Drosophila melanogaster: one gene and its partners. The protein of the gene in region 3 interacts with the protein of the main gene of each other region in a pairwise test. Each region holds a gene or a part of one and is shown on either strand. Other genes may lie near its edges. The genes, in order: GATAd, nau and CG12236.

What was found.
Region 1: the proteins of CG12236 (region 3) and GATAd interact in a two-hybrid assay, tested with the Drosophila melanogaster proteins (one large-scale study listed by BioGRID).
Region 2: the proteins of CG12236 (region 3) and nau interact in a two-hybrid assay, tested with the Drosophila melanogaster proteins (one large-scale study listed by BioGRID).

What each region holds. Positions count from the first base shown.
Region 1 is NT_033779.5:10,332,308-10,339,740, reverse strand, and holds GATAd (GATAd), read right to left. Parts: upstream 5,828-7,433; 5' UTR 5,667-5,827; coding exon 4,929-5,666; intron 3,961-4,928; coding exon 3,817-3,960; intron 3,720-3,816; coding exon 2,858-3,719; intron 2,797-2,857; coding exon 2,669-2,796; intron 2,601-2,668; coding exon 2,448-2,600; intron 2,374-2,447; coding exon 2,145-2,373; intron 1,723-2,144; coding exon 1,625-1,722; intron 1,510-1,624; coding exon 1,333-1,509; 3' UTR 556-1,332; downstream 1-555. Other genes in the region: SamDC (S-adenosylmethionine decarboxylase), read right to left, coding at 123-226; Cox10 (cytochrome c oxidase assembly factor 10), read right to left, coding at 6,770-7,002, 7,067-7,433.
Region 2 is NT_033777.3:23,712,272-23,720,144, forward strand, and holds nau (nautilus), read right to left. Parts: upstream 6,087-7,873; 5' UTR 5,686-6,086; coding exon 5,158-5,685; intron 4,353-5,157; coding exon 4,230-4,352; intron 4,167-4,229; coding exon 4,092-4,166; intron 1,043-4,091; exon of another isoform or gene 1,004-1,042; coding exon 925-1,003; exon of another isoform or gene 869-924; coding exon 675-868; 3' UTR 543-674; downstream 1-542. Other genes in the region: CG10300 (uncharacterized protein), read left to right, coding at 1-195, 265-525; CG10232 (uncharacterized protein), read right to left, coding at 7,205-7,604, 7,669-7,873. UniProt on the Drosophila melanogaster protein: May play an important role in the early development of muscle.
Region 3 is NC_004354.4:5,906,282-5,913,602, reverse strand, and holds CG12236 (uncharacterized protein), read right to left. Parts: upstream 5,469-7,321; 5' UTR 5,112-5,468; coding exon 4,842-5,111; intron 4,733-4,841; coding exon 4,066-4,732; intron 3,991-4,065; coding exon 3,754-3,990; intron 3,692-3,753; coding exon 3,542-3,691; intron 3,171-3,541; coding exon of another isoform or gene 2,962-3,170; exon of another isoform or gene 1,814-2,961; intron 1,178-1,813; coding exon 840-1,177; 3' UTR 524-839; downstream 1-523. Other genes in the region: Shmt (serine hydroxymethyl transferase), read left to right, coding at 1-406; CG4020 (uncharacterized protein), read right to left, coding at 5,792-6,014, 6,085-6,210, 6,268-6,338, 6,394-6,880, 6,935-7,171, 7,240-7,321.

The DNA of each region.
Region 1 (7,433 bases), on a different chromosome or scaffold from region 3:
TTTCTTTTCAGGACGAAAATGAACGGCGCATATGTACGTATACTTTTGCCCGCAACTGTGCATGCACTTGTGCACAAAGGACATGTCGGCTGTTTGGGTTCCGCACTTGTTGAGGGACTCACCTGCTGATGTTACGCAGATCATCGTCACCGTTGGAGCTCTCCTCAAACCAAATCTCAAGGAGTTTCTCAACGCCCTCGAAGAAGTGCGAACCGTTCTCCAACATGCTGCTGGCTGGCAATAACAAATGGATCTGATCTGATACCAAAACAACGCCTGGTGATGTAAAGTAAACGATGGGACTATCGATGCGAGTGCTTGTTGTACTACATCGATAATTCGGGAGTCTAACAGCATGTTTCCACTTACAGCATTTCTCATTGAACAGTCGGCGGTAAAAATGTAAGTCCCTTTCTATTCGAATTAAGATACTTAAATATCTTTAATATATATTTTTTCAAATTCTCATCATTAGTTTAACAGATTTTTCGGTTGCTTATCCCATACCCCAGGCAAATAGTTAAAAAAAAACAGTAGAATTTGGATTTTCATTTTACATTAACCAGTTTTATTGTGATTGTTAAAAATTGTATAGAGTATTTTATTTGAAAAAATAAATGAGTAATATTTTTTGTATCTTAGCCTATTATGAAGTCCTTATTTTATTTAGACAATTTATGTAGATTCGAAAACAGCATTAAGTTTTTTAGTTTCTTATAATTGTATATAATTTAAATATTTCCTTGAAAAGTTTGCATTGCGTGATTATTGCTTTTTGCATAGTTTTACTATTAAAATGTTTTGTGGAGATTATTATATTATCACATGATTTTCGTATAGGCAAGAGATTTAAAACATTATTATTTTTTAGCTTTAGAAGTTGTTCAATTGCAAAGACAGCTGAAAAATCATTGTTAAAACTGAACTTTTCATTTTAATAGAAGCGATTTGTGTTATTAAAAAATTAAAAATACTGTAAAATGGTTTTAATAAATATAAATATAATAAATTTTATTTTTAATTTAATTGCATTAAGTATTGATGTCCTCTCTTAAGGTCTATATTTAGTGTGATATTATTTAAAAGTTTTGACATACTGGTTCAATTTTCATACCTCTTTTACACTAATAAGTATTTTGGTATTAGTTTTTAAAGATACAAATGAATAAAATTTAGTTTTAAAGAATGAAAATTTTATTAATAATCTATACGTATTTTTAATCCTATACCATTTGTTTTTCTCTCTTACGCGACCTCATAAATAAACAAAATGTGGGTTAAAGGTTCTTCTTTTTTTTTCGAAAAGTGAGTAGGGGGAATATATTTGGCGTTTTATGTTAACTTTGCATTATTTTCACTGGAAACAAGGTTAAGCGGTGCGGATAGATCCGCACTTTCACAGGTATCATTAAACGCCGGCAAAGAATTTGACTTCTTACGCCTTGATAAAATATCTTTAAGTGCTGCTGCGGCTGGGGTCTCGGTATCATCAATTTCCTTTTTGAATTTCTAAAATAAAAACATATTAGAAAATTGAAGTTTAAGTGTATTTAAATCTTATGCAAATAGATCTAGTTGATCAATCTACTTATCAAGACTTTAAAGTAATAGTGCAGATACATACATTTAAAACAAGGCCCGAAATGGCTAGAGATTCCCTAGCCGTCAAGAAATCTTGCTTCGTTGTTTCTATTGAAGAACATGATGACATTTGTTTGTGTTCTGCAAAAGAAAGTGTATATTTATAATTTTCGCAAATAAATCATACAATTAATAATGAAAGGCTCGTAGATATTTATTCAAACTTGAGCAGTTTAACGACTTAACAGGCACGTCCAATGCCATCTACAACAATGACATCATAAAATATGATTGGACAAGCAAGAAAATATTTTGGGTGGGTACGCGGTTAATATTCCGATTGCTAAATCAATAGCTTAATGAACATATTAACAGAAAAATAAATTGTTTTGGCAAGTTACATTTAATTACCAACAATAAAATGGTCAGGGAACATAAAAAAAAAACATTAAGTAAACAAATTGTTTTCATTGTTAGATACTCAAAAAATAAATAAATCTATGGGTCACAGAGGGCTAGCTTTCGAATCGAAAAATGTAGATAAATTTCGAACTCTCACTCACTCTTTTTAGATCGCTCCAATTCTTTAGGACGCCTGCGTCTGGTGTGTATGGTATCGCGTCTCATTGAATGCGGCCTGTTGACCCCATGCAGCTTGAAGTACAATCCGCAGGCGTTGCACACCATCTCTCCTCGAACACTTCGCCGCCAAATTGTTGTGGTGAGGGTGCCACAATTCGAACATGACATATCTTTTTGAGCACCAGGTATGGCATTAAAAAGGTTTATGTTCTACGAAATCGGAATTGAACCAAGAAATAATATAATTAGTATGTGATTCAATGAGGATGACTGTGATAACGTACCCTTTTATCTTTCTTATCATCCGGAGTTGCTTCTGAAGTGGTATAAGTATCAGTCACATTCTCATTAACTACATCGATGCAATCAGTTTTGGTAGGAAAACTTTGTTTTCTTCTACATGGTTTTGATTTGCTGGATTGAGCCTCTGATAGATCCTAAGAACACAAAGAGTATTAGACTTTCCTATAGCTACTTGCTACTTGAAATAGAAGAAATAGTTTACCTTTAATAGTGCTATGGGTTCTTCAGGTACTTTTGTAAATGATACTGTCGACGGAACCGGAAACGCGAAAGGCTGGCTCATCATATTTCGAAATATTTGTGATGCCGGATTGTCCTCCTTGCTTTTAGCTATCAAATTGAAATGTTTTTCATAATAATATGCGGTCAGTGGTCGGATAATAATACGTACCGGCTGATCTGGCCAGTGCCTGCCAGAGTTGAGTAGTTGCCGCATCTGTGGCGTGATCCGAGCTTAAGCTATCCGGAGTCTTTCTATCATTTATGGAGGACGTGATGTCCATCTCTAGTTTGTGAGAGTCGGAACTATCGCCAGAGTCTAGCAAGGAGCCGGTACTCGCCTTGGGTGCTTTTGATTTGAAGTCGGACCCACCAACTTGGTTAATGGTAATACTGTAGTTTTGAAAATCCTCTTCACTTCTTAAGTGTGACTGAATATCAAGCATTGGAGTTTGGCAAAAATGGTGTATTGGGGCCGCGTTCCGTTGATTAGAGTAATCGTTCTTTTGTTTTTTGACGGATAGGTCAATTTCAACACCGTCCTGAATTTCATTTTGGTTTGATGGACGTTTTGATTTTATCACAGAACTTTTAATACTTGTATCTACAGCTGCAGAAAAACACGGAGATTGCGGATTCGAACATGGAGGGGAAATTACTATTTTTTTGCTTATATCCATTAAAACGGCAGCCGTTTCAAGCTGCTGCTGCAGATTTTCATATTTCTCGATATCCGAGTCCTTTTGCAGTTTTGAATCAAACTGGCTGTGTGAGGATCCAGACATTGCTTTGCTCTTTTGATCGCTTTTCATAGTAATTGATTTGAATAAACTTGGATATAAGCTATGTGCTGGCATTTCTTGATTGCTAATCTCGATTTTCCGATCCAAGCCGGGTTGGATGCTGGAATCCAATTTACTGTGGTCGTACTTAACTTTAGAGAACGTGCTTAACTCCGTCAGAGCCTTTGCCGCTATAGCCTCCGATGAAGCCTTTAAAATTGCATCGAGCTTGGTTTCCAAATCATTTGGGTCCTGCAAAAAACATAGTTCGTGAGTAGTAATTCAAATGGTCATTTAATTTAATGGCGTATGACTAACTAAGTTCCTTCCAATCAATACTTATACTTACTGGTCTCAGATTTTTGGATATATTTAAAAATTCTTTCAAAGCTATTTGTGAATTGTGCGCCATGGTTCGAAATTTTTCGAAGGAATCCAATTTTTGTCTGCAGTCGCCACAAACCACGTTGGGTAATCCATCGTTGGGCAGTGCCTGAAAGAAATATGAATGTATCTTATACTGCAGTATCCACTTTTAATATTCAGTTGGCTAGCAATGAGAATGATGCAATGACTAAGGAGCAAGGCGGTAACAAAATCGATCGATGGGATTGATGACTGGTTATACTTGGAACTAAAAGAAGAACATTGGATGCTTTGATATTGTATAAATCAAGCTAAAACTATTTGTATTTTAATCAATTTTATCATTATACATGTATTAAAACTTTAGTATACAATTTATATCTCTGTAAATCTCATGAAACAAATTATTTTAATTGAAAAAAATTAAAAACAACCCTATAAAATGATAAAAAAAAAAAAAAATAACATATGTTCATCTACGGAAATAAACACTAAAGCTCATGAAATGCATTAAGAGCACAAATTATCAAATCAATAAATAAATAAATACATAATAACAAATGAAAGTACTCGAAGTATGTAAAAAAAACACATTGGGGCCATATAAGGTGTATGTACGTCGGTATATCCGCACTTAAACAATCGAAACGAATGTTATCTCTTTGGTGGATTAATGTATGTAGGTCTCTAACATACATCCATGCGTGCATATACACACACGTATGTACATAGCAATATTTACATTCGTGCGCTGGACACTGATGTACGAGTGTGGCGTGGTGTGCGTGGGCCTGGGCCAATGCCTTGCAATGGTTCATCGAAAAAATACCAAACAATTGATACCGATTGTTAATAGGCCATGGGATAAAAGCGGCCCAATCATTTCCTATTATTTTGACGTGTGGTGTCGTAATCACATAGATAACACACACCAGCGCACGGCAAGCACTCGCAAAAGTGCGCGTGTGTGCGGGCATTATCGTGTACATATACGCGATATATCCAACTCACACACAGGTAAGAGCATGCTTGTGTATGTGCGTAATTAATGTAAATTCGTTTCTTTGCAAATGTGTTGGATGGAAATCTGCTTACCTTAATAGAGAGACAGTTGAATATCTGAAATGTAAGATGTGGTGATGATGAATCATCCCGACCGTGCTCTTTGCCGTAGTTATCGGTTCCGCTTATATTTGTTGTATTCACACTTGTCTCTTCGCGTCCGCTCTGCTGATTATGATTATGCTGATGTTCCTCCTCCTCGCGCATTGGCTCCGATTTTGTTTGGGATTGGGATAGCGATGCGGAGGGGGATGGCGTCTCCCCGCTATATTCTATATGTTCGTGATCCGACGATGACTGACTTTTGAATACTGTTGATCTCTCGGCGATGTCCGACTCCAATTGGCATTGGCGTTCGCGCTCACTCGACTTTGCGTCCGCAGCAGAAGGCACACTTGGCGTGTAATGGATTTTAGTTTGGTTTTGGTGATGGTGAAGGGTTTGCGATTGGATCTGCTGGCTTGGAACGGGCACAGGCACGGAAACGGGTATGGGTATGGGCACGGGTACGGGTGTTCCCTGGTTGCGCCGTTCATTTTTGTTGGCTGATAGCGGGTTATCAACGATGCAACTGCACGGATTGGGGCTTAAAGCGCTGCAAAAGCAGTTGGCACGATTCGCGACGCCACGAAAATCGGCCGATATTCTGTCTGGGGCACTATTATTATGCGACGAATTATCGTAAATCTGTAGTACTGCAACATCGCACTCGTTAACCAATGTGAGGCACAATCGACAAACTTGACGAAACTTATGTGGTACATTATTCATAATTAGAAATTTATATTCGTTTTGCACTGTGTAAAGAAACTTTCATACGCCTCTCCTTTATCGCGATAAAAAAGATAACTGGTAAAATAAATTATAAAATGAATGTAAACACTATTCCTCAATTTTTCATTGTCACAATCCACGTTCAGCTCACTAAAAATAATTCACTCCAGTGGTTCGCCACAGATTTTTCGCTCATTTGATCTAGTTTCCCGTTCAAATTACCAAACGAGGGCTCCAGCGATAGTCGCGTTAGCTGCATGATTCATCTCGGCATCGCGATAAATCAGTGATTATGCTAATGTGCTTCTGTGATAAAACATCAAGGCTATTGCAACACAATACAAAATATTGTTCTTTTCATTTGTAAGACCAACGCATACAGCAGAGGAACCAGTGAAATATACTGAAATAGGGGCAACTTTTTGGTATTTCTGTTATCGATAACGTACAGCTATACTCATTTTTAGCTAGAAATTTTTGACTATTTATCTGACGGATTTTACTATTATTATTAAAATTATTTCAATTGCGGAATATAGTTCCTAAAATAGCTAGAATACTTATCCCTAGGAAATGCGCATGTCGTTTTTTAATCTTGGAAAAAAAACCCTCCAAAGGAATAAACTCTGGAATCTGAAGAAGAGATGCCTTACAATGCCTTAAATAATACGTTCGATTCGATTGCTACAATTTATCAAAATAAAATAGATTTAAATTCCTTATTTTCAACAACCGATGAAACAACGGGAAACGGGATTACTTCCACTAACAATTTTTACCGTTTCCGTGCTTTTTTTGAAACAAGTGCTCAAAGAACAATATAATAAGGTCATACTTAGAATCTTGCAATTTAAATTACTGTACGGCTTAAGATTCCATGCCAAATTGTATATTTTAAATTTATTTGTATTCAGCGCCGGATTGGTTACACCGCATATTTTTCAAGGATGTCGTGTCATTTATTAGGCGCAACATATATTTGCCGCACAGGGGTACGTGTTTCCTTAATATTAAATGACTGTTTTTACAAGTTGCAGAACACTAAGTATATTTAAATTTCACACGATACTTAACATTTTATCAAATTAATGTTAATATTTCTATCTGGGTCCTTCGGCTACGGCGACGGGCAGGACATTACCAAGACTGCTAGCAGAATGCTTTATCGCACTGTACGTGGACTCCTTTTTGTTCTCCTCACCGGCGGGTTTGCTGAAATACCATTCCTTCTTATTGGTCAGAAATAGCAGCATCAGGGCGGGCAGGTGTATCAGTGAAAATCGGAACAGCTTCCGCGAGCTCCCACTATCTGACTTTTCATGAAACTTGTACGCTGCAAGCAAACAGAACGTATTAGACATAACATATAGGATTCCATGGTTAATGAGTATATTTACCAAGGTAGGCGAAGTACGCGTTCAGAGGTAGTGTTTCCAAGGCAAACCAGTAGTTCGTGACGTCCAGTACGGGTGCCATGGCTGAAAGTCCGACAATAGCCACCGAATATCGCAGCGCAGTGCGGCGACAAAGACCCGGATTGGTAACGGCCATCATTCGGTAGCCGGCACGTGAATAATCCGGCCGGAGGTTCCACGACAGAGCGTTGAAGTGCGGGAACTGCCACGCGTACAGCACTCCGGCTAGGATCATGGCGCCGGCGTCCAGGGTGGCTGCACAACCAGCCCATCCCATCAGCGGAGGAATGGCGCCCACTATCGATCCCACCCAGGTATTGACTATGCTGATACGCTTCATCGGTGTGTA
Region 2 (7,873 bases), on a different chromosome or scaffold from region 3:
GTTGTGGATGCCAGAGATGTTACCATGGAGCAGATGATGCAGTACGATCCCTTCCTGCTGAAGAAGGCATTTGCTCTGGTGGACCAATGCATACCACTGCGATTTGTTGAGATTCATATGATCAATATGCGCAAGGAGGGACAAACCATATTCAATTTTGTAACGAAGTTTTTGCCCTCCAAACTGCCTTTCAAGGTGAATCTATCATCAAAAAGCTTGAATTGCGTTAGGATTGGTAATTAATCTCTACAATATTCTACACAGTTCGTGGTCCACAAAAAGTCGGAGGATCTGTACCAGCACCTGCCCAGAGATGTGATGACCATCGAGTATGGTGGCACCAATGGCTATCAGGCAGAGGCAGTGGATCATTGGCGCCAGAAGCTGCTGGACAGCAAGGATTATCTGGCCAAGGATGCCCAGTATGGTACTAATGAGAAACTGCGCGTCGGATTGGCCAGTGCCTGGGCCAATGGAGAACTGGACGGGATGAGCGGTTCCTTCCGCAAATTGGAGCTAGATTAAGTAAGACGACTCTAGTTGCTGTTTTGAATTACCATTTAATTAAGTTCTAATGCTATACAAATAATTTAAGGCCTATTCGGGTCACTGGGTATCTCGTGTATCCTCTTAAAAATAGCTTTACAATTGCCTAAGGTGCTGATACTTAAGTGCTAAGTGCTGCACTTCCGTTTGAAGTTCACGTGCAGAGAAGTGGGTGCAGTTGCTCCGGATGAGGGCGGCGATTGGGTATCTGAAGCGGAGGGCGTGGCCTTATTTTGAATGGGACTCGTGGTGCTCTTATTGATGCTCTGAACAATCAGATTTAGACAGTCCAAACTGGAGCCATTGGCATTGCCATCAAAGTCTATACAAAAATATTTTAGATAAATACATCAAATACTTTTTTTTTTTTACTTTTACCTGTAAACTGACCATATTTCTCCATATGTTTGTTGTAAAAACTAAGTTTATCTTCTAGATAAGCGCCAGCATAGGAGCTCTGCAAGGAAAAACATAAATAAATACAAATGGAAAAATCATATATTTTTTTTTTAGTTGGCCTCAAGCGAAATTGGGGAAACAATAAATTACAGAAAAGTGTCGCCGTCGAAATGACAACGTCAAATTTGCTCCGGTCCTGTCAACTTGGCCAACGAGTGCCATACAGAATGCAGTCTAATGATGAGATTAAGCCAAAATTTATGCCAGTAAAGAGATTCCACAGGCCAATTAAAACGCATTGAACCACCGCACCACACCCATTGTCTGCCCCAACATTGTGGGGCATTGTGTGCAGTGCACTTTAGAGGCAATTAAATTAATTTTGCGCATACGCAGACGACAGACAAGGCATCCGGAGATTCGGTCGGGATTTCATTAGAAAAATTCGCTATAACGCCGATGCTAAGCAAATTATAATTGCCACTTCTGGGTGGGTTTCCTTGCTGCCCCCCCCCCCCCCCCAAATCCGCATCTGGTGCATCCAAAGTGCCGTCACTTCGTCTGCAAGGATCGACAAATACAGGGCATCCCGTATGGCTTATATGTATGTACGTCTGTTTATATTTAGCGGACAACAAAGTACGGAGTGATAAAACAACAGAATAGCATTCAAAGCCGAGTGAAGTGAACTAAACTGAACGAGAGCAGATGAACTCACACTGCACTTTTATAAAGCGATTTATCATTTTTTTCAAGCGTTTAGTGACAGCCTGCGCTCGATATGCCGCAGTCAGCAAGCGGATACACTGGGAAAAATTACACAAAAATAGCACAACTGGGTTAAAAGCAATAAAGTCTATTTATATGACAATATAATACCGAATATTGAAAAATTTCTTTGGAAATAAATTCTCAATTTAACAAGCATGTTCGAAATATATTTTTAGACATGCCCGACTTCTTTCTGTGTACTTGTTTGCAGGTCTTTATGGTATTTCGGTGTATTTTATTTTATTTTTTTTTTTTTGAGCATATATCATGCGTTGTATCTGAATGAAATGCCACTTATCACTTGGGCATTCCGATTCTTCGGTTGCGTAAAGATTTTAAGCCGCTTTTTGGCGCGTTCCCCTTAGATGTTCTCCTCCGATCTGTGAGCGTGTAACGGATATGCGGCATTATGCGATTTGTTAGCCATAAGTTGCATGAGTTTTTACCATGAAATATGCTTTTAATATACTAAACCCACTTTAAAAATATTGCCACTTCTCTGCGAGTTGTGCGGTCAGTCGTAAGATCTCATAATCCATTTCGGAAATATCACCGAAAAAATGCAAGAACTACTTGCCAGATATGTATTTACATTTTTAATAAGATGCAAATAATGTTGATGTTTATTTTCGGAATTATTTAATCAATCTTTCTCGGAAACTGAAAAAGTTACTTTTTGAAACGGGGACGTGTGATAAAGATTATCAGTGGTGGTTAGACCATAAAAATCACACCAATTATCTCTTCTCAATAATTTGCAATATCATTTATAAACTGCTTTCCATTCGTAGAAAATATCTAATAGTGTAGCTGTAAAGCTATTCAAAGATAACAAAAGTTTTCGGTAGCATATCTGTACCTGATAATAGTTTAAAAACTGAATGGTAGGGAATCCGATCAATCCTGACTCACTGTCCAAATGGATGGTTTGCACCCACGTTACCCACATCTTTCCGTGAGTCATTTGCACCGAAAAGCTCTATCTTAAGACTTCAATGATTGCGGCTATGTATTTCATTACGTAGAAATTTGACTGATATAGACAAGGTGGCACTTTTGTATATCGCAAGTACTACACTTTATTGGCGGCGATAAGGAAATTTATGGGCCAACTTAGCGTTCGCATTTCGTGTTGGAAACAGTTCAAAAGGAAATCTTTTACTTAAGTCGCCGAGGTTTATAAATACACGGGCTCCAAATGAATGGATATGGATGAGATGGATGGATTGCCAGGGTCTGAGATGCATTTGAATGTCTGCACGTTTGGCGCTATGCCAGTTTTTAATCAAACTATGGCCGCACATTAATATCTGCCAATGGGGGGCGCAGTCAACATACAAATACGCTAAGTTTTATGGTAAATTAACAAATTTGTACATTAAAATTGTGAGAAACTTAAACAAACTGCATGGAAATTACTCAGCGCAGGCCAACCCGAAAGTCAAATGAAAATGAAAAGAAAAGAGGGCGTTGAAGATGATGGCAAAAATGTTTGCATAATTGTTGACAATTTGTTGCCCTGTCATTCGGGAGTAGATATGCATGTACAACCCGCTCCCGTCCCCCCCCCCCCATTTTTCATTCATTTTCATTTCCCTTCAATGACCAACGACTTGGCCATATCTTGCAACACCTTTCGAAGAAGAACACCCCGAGATCTTGTCATGTTTTTCCTGTGCAATTTGTCAACTGCCACAACGGTTTTGGTTCCACGTCGCAGGGAAGCTATTATGAAACAGAAAAGCGATCGTCGCAATCCACCAAACATGGGGATGAAGATTCTGGTGCCGATTCCTGCTCCAACGAATTTGTTGTAATTAATTTACAACACGATTTCCATTCGGGCTTATAAAAAGAAAATTTATTTATTGCCTTTCACTAAATGCAGACAACGACCCTTTCCCCTGTAAATTCTCCTAAATTCTCCAGCTATTTTTCCTCTAAATTTTTTTTCCCCCGTTCCTTTGATAAAAGTTTGCTCCCCTCACATCTGGGCAAACTTTCTCGATCATAACTCATAATATTCCCGGTTTTCGAGTGAATGTGATTCAGAAATGTGGATGATGGGCTGCCGGCGTAGCTTATTAAGTAGCACGTCAGCGAGCGCATAAATTCCGGTCAGCAGATACAACAGATATCAGATACAGTTTGGGGACTGACTCTTTCGGGGATCCGTCCGTATACATATTCTATTTTCATGTTCGCCATTGCGACGGACCAGACCCTGAGATTTTGATGAATGTGCGCGTCGCCAAAGAAAAATGTACGAAAGCGCTGCTCATGCATGAGAATTTTACGAGAAAATAATTGCGGAACGATATACGCGCCGATATTGTGGGCTTAATATTAATTGGCGGTTAGTGGACAAAACTTACCAGATAATCGGACTGGCAGCTTTTGCCGCTCAAACTGGGCGCCAGGTTGTCGCCATCGCGTGTGGTACTGGATTCCTAAGATAATCAATTTAACCAATGGTATTCTCTATTCGCGGTGAGATGAGTTCACTCATTTACCTGTAGCAGATCCTCCAGGCTCTCGATATACTCGATGGCATTGCGCAATATCTCAACCTTCGGCAGGCGCTGGTTGGGATTGGATGAAGTGCGTCGCTTGAGGATCTCGAAGGCCTCGTTAACCTAGAATGTGAACGGAATAATAATCAATTAATGGCCATCGTTGAAATCATGGAAATCCATTAGGCGTGCCATAAAAACACAGAACACGCGGCGTGTTCCCCTTTTAAGTGGCTCTTTAATAAAACATATTTTAAATTAAATAGAGCATAAAATTTTCAACAATTAAGCCGTTCGCCCGTCGTCTGTCTCTTTATGACAGCCCCCCATCACCATACCCCTTCTAACCGGAGCTCCCACGATTTTCCGCCTTTCACTAATGTCTCTATGTGGAGCTATAAATACGTGTGGTTCATCCAAAACTTTTACGACCGTCGAACTCATAAATGCCGCTGTTTAACTCTTGGTCTTGGCAAATGTTTATGTTTTACGCATGTTGGGTGGTTTCCCTTTCTGCGCGTTATGTCAATGGATCCGATCCTCCCTGGTGGCGATGTGTTAATTTGTGGGGTGCTAGCCGAGCTAATGAAATTACTACAAAGTTGCAGTCCTTAAACGCAGGGGACTTGCGAACTGTGGCGTAATCTATTTTTAAGATCGACCGAGGATTAATAAGCCTGCTGATGGAAAAGGACTCTTGAACAGAGTTCTGAGTGGTATGCCTATATTCAAGTCCCCATAAGCAGTTTTAAGTTATTATTATAATAATGAATTGAATGAATCAAAAATCTACTTTTAAAGTGAACCATTCTTTTAATGAATGATTGAAAGATGAAAGTGCTGTATTTGTATCAGTAGTTATTGCACAATATGTTTTTAATATTTGATAAATCTGAAAATGTGTGTAATGTGAGCATGGGATGCCTACCTTTCGCAGTCTCCGGCGTTCCCTCATAGTGGCCGCTTTCCGACGGTCCACGGTGACGCTCTTCTTTTTGCACGCCTTGCAGGCCCAGGTGAGGCATGGTCTGGAGGATTGGGCGGAGGAGCAGACGAGGGGCGCCAGGACGTGCTCCTCGGAGCTGAGACTGCTGTTCTCGTCATCGTAGTCGGTGGTGTAGATGGGCGACGGTGTCATATTCATGCCCAATGGCTTGTCCAGCTCAACCGGATTATGATTCGCATGACTGTAGTTGCAAGACGAACCCGATCCGTTGGCTGAGATGGAAGCCGCTCCACCATTTCCCGCACTCGCATCACCGACGGCATTGAAGCGGCTAAAGAAATTCTGCAGTGTCTGGTGTGGATTCTGGCCGGGATGGGCTATCGGATTCTGTTGGCTATAGGCGCTAAATCCGTATCCAGGATGTGTCGGCTGACCATAGCCATTGTGGTACTCCTGCTTGATGGTTTGAGCCGCAGGCATTTCACTGCTGCCACTATTATACTTGGTCATTTTTCACTTCACTACGATTTTGTTATATTTTACAAAACAATTTTGGTAGTTCAACAAGTTGCTGAATTTAATTGCTGATACTAATTACGATGGCACAGTTAATTTAGTCAGTTGATTATTACCATTTTTAACGTGGTTTAAGCTCTTTTTCTAGGTATGCTAGGTCATTAACACAAATTTATGAGTTATGGTTACACACAAGTTTTAGGCTGTGGTTTCTATTTAATTTAATTTGTTATAGTTTCACTTTCGGGATTTTTAAAATAGAACCTTAATTAGTTGGTTACACTTTAATGATGCTTTGTAAAAACCTCCGACATTTTCAAAAATATTTTTCGACTTCGATTTGCGGACCGTACGCGAGTGTGTGTACCGCCTTCCGTCGCAATCGCAACACATTTGGTGACAATATCCAAGAATCCAAGATATCGTGGGCCCCCAGATGTGCTCGCGATCCTCTCGGAGTGCGGATGCTGCTGCGTTTTGAGTGGCTGAGTGGCTCTCGAGTGGTTCCTATTTTTAGAGGCGCCCCGCCATTAGACGACATTGGCGGTTCTCTAAGGCAGAAGGACGCTGCCGCAGGCCACGCCCCTCCCCTTTTTTTTTTAATTTTCGTGAGTTTTCAACGCGATTTTCCGCTCAATGTGAAGCGTGTTTGTGAAAGGCTTAGTTCAAATCAAATAAATTGAATTTTACCTGGCCAGCGATTAGTGTGGGTTGGTGGGGGAGGTGGTGGCATAAATTAGCTTTCGGGGAGCTCAACAATTCGTTAATGTGACACATTTAGTGGAAAATCCGGCCCCCCGTCCACAGATCCCATCAATGGCAGCCACTTTTCTATTGAGTTATAGTTGCAACGGCCGAGAAAAAAGCGAGAAATTGAGCAAAAAAATAAATAAAATAGGAGAGGCCGAAATAAAAATAGTCAAAGAATTGTGTTTATTTATCGCTGCTCAGGCACAATATATATCTTTGGAAATCACCTTTAAATCTTCCCCAGCGATATTGTAAATCTTTTGTCTTAGGACCGTGGTTTGCTCGAGCACTTTCCATCTTCATTTTTCCACTTTTCCCTTCTCGTCTTTTTCCATTTCGTATTTTCTCCTCACATTTTCCATCTTGCCGTACTTTGATGGATGCTTTGTTTTGATTCGGTCTGATGGTATTTTGGTGGCAAAGACTATTTGTTGTGCCACACGATAATCCCAATTGTAAATTTAATCATTATCGGCCTTTGTTTTCGGGCAGTGTACTGTCAACGCACAAATGTAACTCAGAAAAGAACGTTTAAAAAATCAAAATCATTAAGTAAATTCGATTTATTGTGTTATTAATTTAATCAAATAAATAAAATACATATTAAAACTCATTCTTATGTGCATATTTGATTTTACTGGCTACTTGATTGAATTTTCCATAATTCCATAATCCACAAAAAAAACACATTCACTCATACAAACAAAATGCATTCACATATTAACAAACACCATACACTAGTCGAGATTCCTTAGCAAGAAAGTTATGGCTTCAAATTTGCCTTTATCCATGAGAAAAATGCTCCAGTCTTTGTGTAAACACCTGGTTTTCTATCTCCGCAATTCTCACTTCCATATGAAACGATACCGGCCAGATATACGATATCCTGGTAATCATTATTAAGGGTTAACATCAAGGGACCTCCGGAATCACCCTCACAGGAGTCTTCTCCTCGAATGCCAGAAGCACAGATTTGTGATTCGTTGCGGAAGAACGATATCTTGTCTTGGCAATAATATCTGTTTTCATAAACGGTGTTATGCAACAACACCTGACTATATTCTCTGTTTTTCGTGTAGCCCCAACCGGCGATTTGCAATGGGTGATTATGCAAGGGGATGGGATCTTTCGGCACACAAATCGGTAGAATTTCGTGGGTATATCTAAGGAAATAAAAACTTTGGTTCATAATAGTCAGAAAATGATGCCTTATATTGCAATACTCACCGAACTGGCGTTTGAAGACGCACCAAGGCGATATCGCTTTCAAACCTTGAGGTGTTGAAATATTGTTCGTGGACATTGAAATACTCGATGCCGATCTCTACAAAGGGGGCAGCGCAGTTTCCTGTAAAGTCGCAATCCGGATTGGTGGTAATATCATGCTCGCCCAGCCGCACTCTCCTGAGCACCAAATCTGTGTTCACCATTT
Region 3 (7,321 bases):
GGCCACCGGCGGCACCGACGTCCATTTGGTGCTGGTCGATGTGCGTAAGGCTGGCCTGACCGGCGCCAAGGCCGAGTACATCCTCGAGGAGGTGGGCATCGCGTGCAACAAGAACACTGTGCCCGGCGACAAGTCCGCCATGAATCCCTCCGGCATCCGGCTGGGCACACCGGCCCTGACCACTCGCGGCCTTGCCGAGCAGGACATCGAGCAGGTGGTGGCCTTCATCGATGCTGCCCTAAAGGTTGGCGTCCAGGCAGCCAAGCTGGCCGGCAGTCCCAAGATAACCGATTACCACAAGACGCTGGCCGAGAATGTGGAGCTCAAGGCCCAGGTGGACGAGATCCGCAAGAATGTGGCCCAGTTCAGCAGGAAATTCCCGCTGCCCGGCCTGGAGACCCTGTAGGTGCTGCCTGCTTTGTTTGTCCCTTTTTCTTTTGTTCGCCTTACGATTTACATCCTCGAAAAGTCCGCTTGTTAATATCATAAGTGGGAATTAGTAGTTAAGCCATTAAACGCATTTCAGTTTACATACCATAGCTATGGAGTTTTATTTTTGGAATGGAGTATCTAGTATTTACACGAAACAATGCTTTGTTATTCGAGATGAGTGGTTTGTTTCAGATGATGCAAGGGAATTCAATAAATGTATTTAAGTATCTTTGCAACAATTGCTAATCAATGGGCATAAGTATCCTTGGTAACTATGGTGTTAGTTTCCAAATGCCCTGCTTGCCTGCAATTCAACTCCTCTAAATGATAGCCAGCCATGAAGGCAGCAGTGGTCATGTGCAGATAGTTGGGCGTACTAAATGATACATTAATGGCATACCGCTGTCTCAGTGATCGCTGTACTCGATCTTGGTGAATCCCTTGGTCGAACAGCCCATTTCGCGATGAAAACGCGAGTTGTGTGTGGAGAGGGACCACTTTGTCTTGAAGCTCTTCATGCAGATGAAGCACTCGTGCTCCTTGCCCTGAATCTCCGAATGCCTGGAGGCGATGTGTCGCCGCAGCGCGTTCACCGACTTGAGCGGCCTGCCGCAGAAGCTGCAGTTCAGCGGTGCGAGGCCGGTATACTGGACGCTCTCCTCATCGCTGCCAGCCGGTGGCGCGGATGCAGTTGCTCCACTCTTGGACGACCTGGCAACCGTCACGGATCCTGGCTTCAAAGCGGCTGCAAGAGAGAGAGAGAGAGAGAGTTGGTTTTTAATGAGATCGTTGGACACAAGAAGGTTTTTTTGCCGCGCCCATTGAGAATAAAGTTCATTTGCGTTTAAATGGTTTACATGATTTTATTTTCTCTCCCGCTCTTTTTCGCCAACACTGCAGCTATCTCGTTCTCTTTCTCGAATTAAATTGATTAATTTAGTACCGTTTCGTTGACGCGTGTAAATCAATCTACGTACAGAATGGCTTAGACTTAGAGTTGTGTGTTTGGGGTGGAATTGGAATCTCAGCTAGTTATCCATCCATCCATCCAGTTGCCCCAACTGACCCGTTAACCCATTCCGGCCGTAATCCCATTGCTTCGTTGATATATTCTCAATTCTTTGAGAGCGTTGACGAAGTTGAATGAATCTAGTGGGTTGGTGGGTGGTTCTTCTGGAGGATTACGGCCGGCGGCCGGGAGTGAAGTCAATTTGGGCATGGTATGGAGTATGGAGAGATATAACGTTAACTATATATGTGTATACATAGATCGATAAGTAATACGTATGAGTTGTTTCATTTAACTAGATTATCTTTAGTATGTATGGGCTTTGAGTTTGTCTTGGAGAGGATTTCTACGGGTTTTTTTTTCTCTTTTCTTCTTCGCTTTCTTTTTTTGAAAATACTTTCAACTTATCGCGCTATGACTTCCGTTTTCACTTGGCTCGTGTGGGCTGGTATACTCAATTAAGTTACACCGAATAACTAAACTATGTCCAATCGAATTTGTGGTGTCTTAAACTAAACTAAAACTAATTTAGCTAATTTACAGTCAACTGCCAACGCTCTAATGCTGAACACAGATGGTCAAAAGCGCGCCGGGTAATTGGATTAAATCGTATTTAAATTTGTACACAAGGGGTAATATATATATTTTCTCATATTCTCCTGATCTCTGCTTGTGAGCAAAGTACACAGCTTCCTTCCTGCGGAATCAAATTGGGCAGAGAATCTCATGGAGGGGGGACTTTGTTTTTGGGTTTACCTTAATTTAGGTTAAGTTGCCTAGCTCTATATACAAAAACTGAATAATATCAGAGTTTCAAAAAATACATATGAGGTTGTTTAAGAGCTAAAATAAAGTGATCGATATGGGCTAAGTATAACATTAGTTTTCTACAATCAAATTAAATCCTTGTGTTCTGTTCTCTTGCACATAGTATCACTCGATCTAAGCTATTAAGCATCCAAAGTGCTCTCAAATCTTCCAAAATTCTTGTCATCTTGGGTGTGTTTGTGTGTGTGTGTGTGTGTGTTTATATACATTCTGTGGTGTGTCAATGGATTTCGAGGGCTTGTAACTTGCCGTCTGTATAATGAAGAAGTACCTAAAGCAAATGGTAGACTATAAAATACAAGTGGTACATGTACGCATTACGTGGACACATGACATGGCTTGGTCAACGACGGGATCACCAGCTCCACTCTCCACCGACTGACTAACTGACTGACTGACTCGACTTAGTGGCTATCAAGGTGTTATATATAGAACTATATAGGGATAAACGTTTCGTACTCCTATCTGCTTTGCATTTAAGTTGACAAATTTGGCTAGTTTTCGTTTTGGGGCCTTTGATCGAAACACGAGGGAATGGGCTGGTTGGGTTGATTGGTTTTGCTGGCTGCTCGCTAAGCTGGACGTAATTAACTATATCTCTCTCCCCTATCCGTATATCCTATCGATCTCAATCCAGATGCAGTTGCAGATCCAGATGCGGCTCGCAGGCGACCGAGACTTATGAAGACGCATCAGTTCTCCGTCTTGATGGCCACTTTCTGTTCGTGCGAGATGCGTATGTGCTCCCGCAGACTGTACTTGTTCTTAAAATTCTTATTACACATGTCGCATTTGCGCGGCGGTTGTGGGGTATGTTGGGTGCGAATATGTCTCCAAAGATTAACCGTGGTTATAACCATTTTGCAAAACTGACATTCTGTCCACTTATTATTGGGCGAATCTAAAAATATACAGAAAATACGTACAATCAGTATAACAGTCTCGATTGCTGCTTACGTCCTAAATCTCTGGGCAGAACACACCATTCATTTGGAGACATATTCGACAAACCACAACAACTAATAGTTAAATTAACATAACATTTAACAGATAAAAAAAAAACGAATGGACCATAAAATATGGTCAACATTGAAGACATGAAAGTACAAACTAAATAAAGTACAAACTTATGAAATAAGTAAAGAAAATGCACTTATGTTCGATGTACATGCATTGCTGCATCACTTCAATTCATGTAATAAAAATATATCTTTAAATGGGGGGGAAAAAAAAACACCTTAAACCCAAGTCAGTTGTTCGGATACTACTCACCATTCGTCCCGCTGGCCTTGCTGTCCGATTTGACCTGCGTCACAGACACCGTAGTCGAGGGACCAGTCGTCGCGCTGCCGCCACCCGAATCCTCCATCACTTGGCCGGAACCCGCACCCGGCGTCCCGCTGGCGGTGCCCAGCAATCGGGCTACAATGGATAAATCGATTGAATAATCATGGTTATATATGAATAGCCCAAATATAACTCACTCATCTCAATGGCAATTTCGGCGTTGTCCGCATCCGCCTGGTACTTCTCCTCCATTTCGGACTCGGTGAGTATTTCATACTCGGATGAGTACTGCGCCACATTCTGCGCCGCTGCGGTGGTGGCATCCTGCGACGTTTGCGGCGTTGCTCCATCCGACAGGCGGTCATCCACTTCGCCAACAATGTAATCGGGTATGTCCATCTTGACGGCGCCGCGCAGGAAAGTCATCTCGGCAGCTAAAAAAAAAAAAAAACATCGAAATATATTATTAAAATGATGTCTAAACATGGTGGCATCCACTCCAGACTCACTTTTCACTATGGTCTGCTCATCCTTGACGGCGTAGTCAACGGTTTCGGTGGTGTACATGTTGTCGTCGTCGTCCGAGAACGTGATCTTTCGCTTCTTAACCGAACTGGCCGCCGGCAGGGCCACCGCATTGGTGATGGTCAGGTGTTGCGTCTGCACGGGCGTCGTTTGTTGCTGCTGTGATTGCTGCTGCTGCTGCTGTTGTTGCTGCTGCTGCTGCTGCTGCTGCTGCTGCTGTTGCTGTTGCTGCTGTTGCGGGGGCGGTGCCGATTGCACTTGGATGTGCTGAATCTGGGTGGTTTGTACATGGTGATGCTGCTGCTGTTGATGCTGGACCTGCAGCTGTTGTGCCGCTGCGGCTGCTGCGGCTGCTGCGACCACCTGCGATGGCACCTGGCTGGCGTTGGTGGCTTGCAGCAAAGTGGCCGCGGGTATTTCGATGGTTTGCGTAGCTGTCTGCGCCTGGGCCACATTGGACACCTGCTGCTGCTGCTCGTTGACCGCGCGTATGGTGCTCGGTATGGTCTTGATCAGCTTGTGCTCGCTGATCAGCGGCGCCACCGGGATCTGCGGCTTCTCCTTCTCCTCGGCGGTGAGTCCTTGGACGGCCAGCAGCTCGGCAGTTTGCAGGAACGATTGCAGCGCCTCCTGCTGCACATTGACTTCGCCCTAAAACAGAAGTGGAATTAGTTGATACGTTTCAGGTAAGATCTCTTGTGGAATGAACTATATGAACATCAAGATACTGACAATTTATATATATACCATATAAACCCACCTGGTACATGAACTCGATAATCGAATTGAGATCCTCGAACTTGATAAACTTAAATATAATGACTGGATGCGGATGTGGGTTCTCCTTGAATATCTCCTTAAAGTAGGACGAGCAGGAGGAGAGTACCACCTTGTGGGCCTTGATCCTGCGTCCATCCACGCACAGGCTGACGTCCACGAAGTCATCGTTCAGCCGGTGGTTGTCCAGGGAGTAGGTGAGGTGGCGCAGGTAGTTGTTCCACCGCAGCGAGTACTGCTGGGTGGTGGCCATTGCGGCGTCCTCTCTGCGTCCGCCTCCTAGCCCTAGCCCTCTCCTGCTCTCCTCTTTCCGCCTCTTCCTCTTTCCAGTCCAATCCAATTAGCGCCAATTCCCGGGAAGGGGGAAGCTGCCCGCCTTGGCAAAAAAGTGGCGAATATGGAACACCTCCGGTTTCTGCGACCCTTTCAACGATGCGGCAACGTGTGGATCCACTCCGGCGGATTTCTTTATTTGGTCTAAGACCGCTCGCACTTTTTGTTTTGCCCGCTTTTACGGGGTTTGTTTACGGCGCTGTTCGCACACACGAATACGAATTTCTTATATTCTATGCCAAACAAAAATATTATACGCCTCCATTTTGTTTTCTTGCCAATTTCGGTGCAACCCTGCGTGTGCTGCCACCTACCAGGTGGCTGCCATTTCAGCCGCCAGGTGGCGTGTAGCCAGAGCTGCCACATAGACAGAGCGACAGTTTGGCGGGATATTTAAAATTAGCATTTCTACTTTTGCCAACATAACGCATACAATGTGCCCACACAGCTTTATAAAATTCTGATTTTAATTTAACTACAAATGCAAGGGAATACGTGACAATTAAATGCAATAAACAGAATTAACCAATGCCGGAGAATATATATATATATGTGTATGTTACTAAGCACTACATTTCTATAGTTGGCTTCAATGGCTCGCTACCACAATCGCACCAGAAATCGGAATATCAGGCGCAGCAGGAAGCTATAGACGATGCCCCGGCAAAGAAAGTCCAGCACGTAGAAGATCTTGACGCGAAAACGGGCGGCACTGCTGCTCTCGGGACTCTCCTTCAGGAGGAACTCCTTGGCGCCGCGAATTCCGTGCTGGAAGAACTCCGTGTAGTTGATGTTGGCGTGCTGCATGAAGCCAAAGTTGGAGCTGAAATTAAATGATAGATCAATGAAAAGAGATACATCTATAAGAAATGTAATGTTAAAAGGGCACTCACACTTCGTTGGCCGGAACTACATCGTGCAGAGCCCGGAAATTGTCGTTCTGAAAATGCCACTCGGTCATCGCAAACACTTGCAGCGCACTGAAGGCGGCGAATATGCGGCGTTGTAGCTTCATCAGGCTGGAAAAGGCATTCTCATATACATTTAACTTCCTCATCAAATCCGCCGCAACTTACAAGGGCTTTTCATTATAGAGACGCAGCAAAGTGTCCACCACGATGGCCATGAGCAGGTGCATGGTGCAGAACTGAAAGTATCAACATGGTTAATATACATTTGGGATAAACAAAACCAAAACTCACCCGCACAAAATGAAGAACCGGACAAGTGGTCATCCCGCCGCCGGGCAGCCAGAGTGTCTTCTCGAATGGATTCTTGCGGATGAACGTCTTACCGATATCGATCACCTCGCCCATGGTGATCGGCGATATATTCGCCGTGGCACAGTTGACCACATACAGATCGCTGTCCTTGGCCCGCGATTTCGATTCACCCATGAACTTGTACACCGAGGTGATCAGTGTACGGGCCACAATATCGGCGGGCACGAAATCGGCCACAATATTGGGATCACAGTTCTGGGAGCGCAGTATGCCCACGCCGCAGGCCACCAGCAGTCCCGTGGGTCCATTGAAGTTGTCCGCCCAGCCGGGCACGGGTTCCTCAATGGTGGAGACCACAATCGATGGCCGAAAGATGAAGATGGGCAGCCTGTCCCTGTACTCATTGACCACCTGCTCGGCCAAACTTTTGGTGAAGGTGTACGTGTTCGGCTGAAAGTTACCATACCTGCAAGGTGCATATTATATAGCATCTTATTTTCCACTCAACTCCACTACTCACTTGAGATTGAAGATGTCCAGAATCTCGGCGTCGTAGGTCTCCGCCAATTTGATAGTTGTACGCCAGTCGGCCAACGGTGGATAGACGCGCTCCTCCACCTCAAGAACTCCCGGATTCGAGTAGGTGGTGGACACGTGGACGAATGCCTTCAGCTTGGGCCACTCCAGGGCCAACTTGACCAGCTCGTGGGTGCCACGGGTGTTCAGTAGTATGGCCGTGCTCAGGGCATCATCGAAGCTAAAAGATGATGTATTATTGATTTGTATATCCTAACCTGGATCGTATATATGTACATATGTACTCACCGCACACTGGCCGCCGAATGATAGACAATGTTGACATTGCGCAGCCGCTCAAGATCCGCGCTGCCAATGCCCAGGCCCAGCT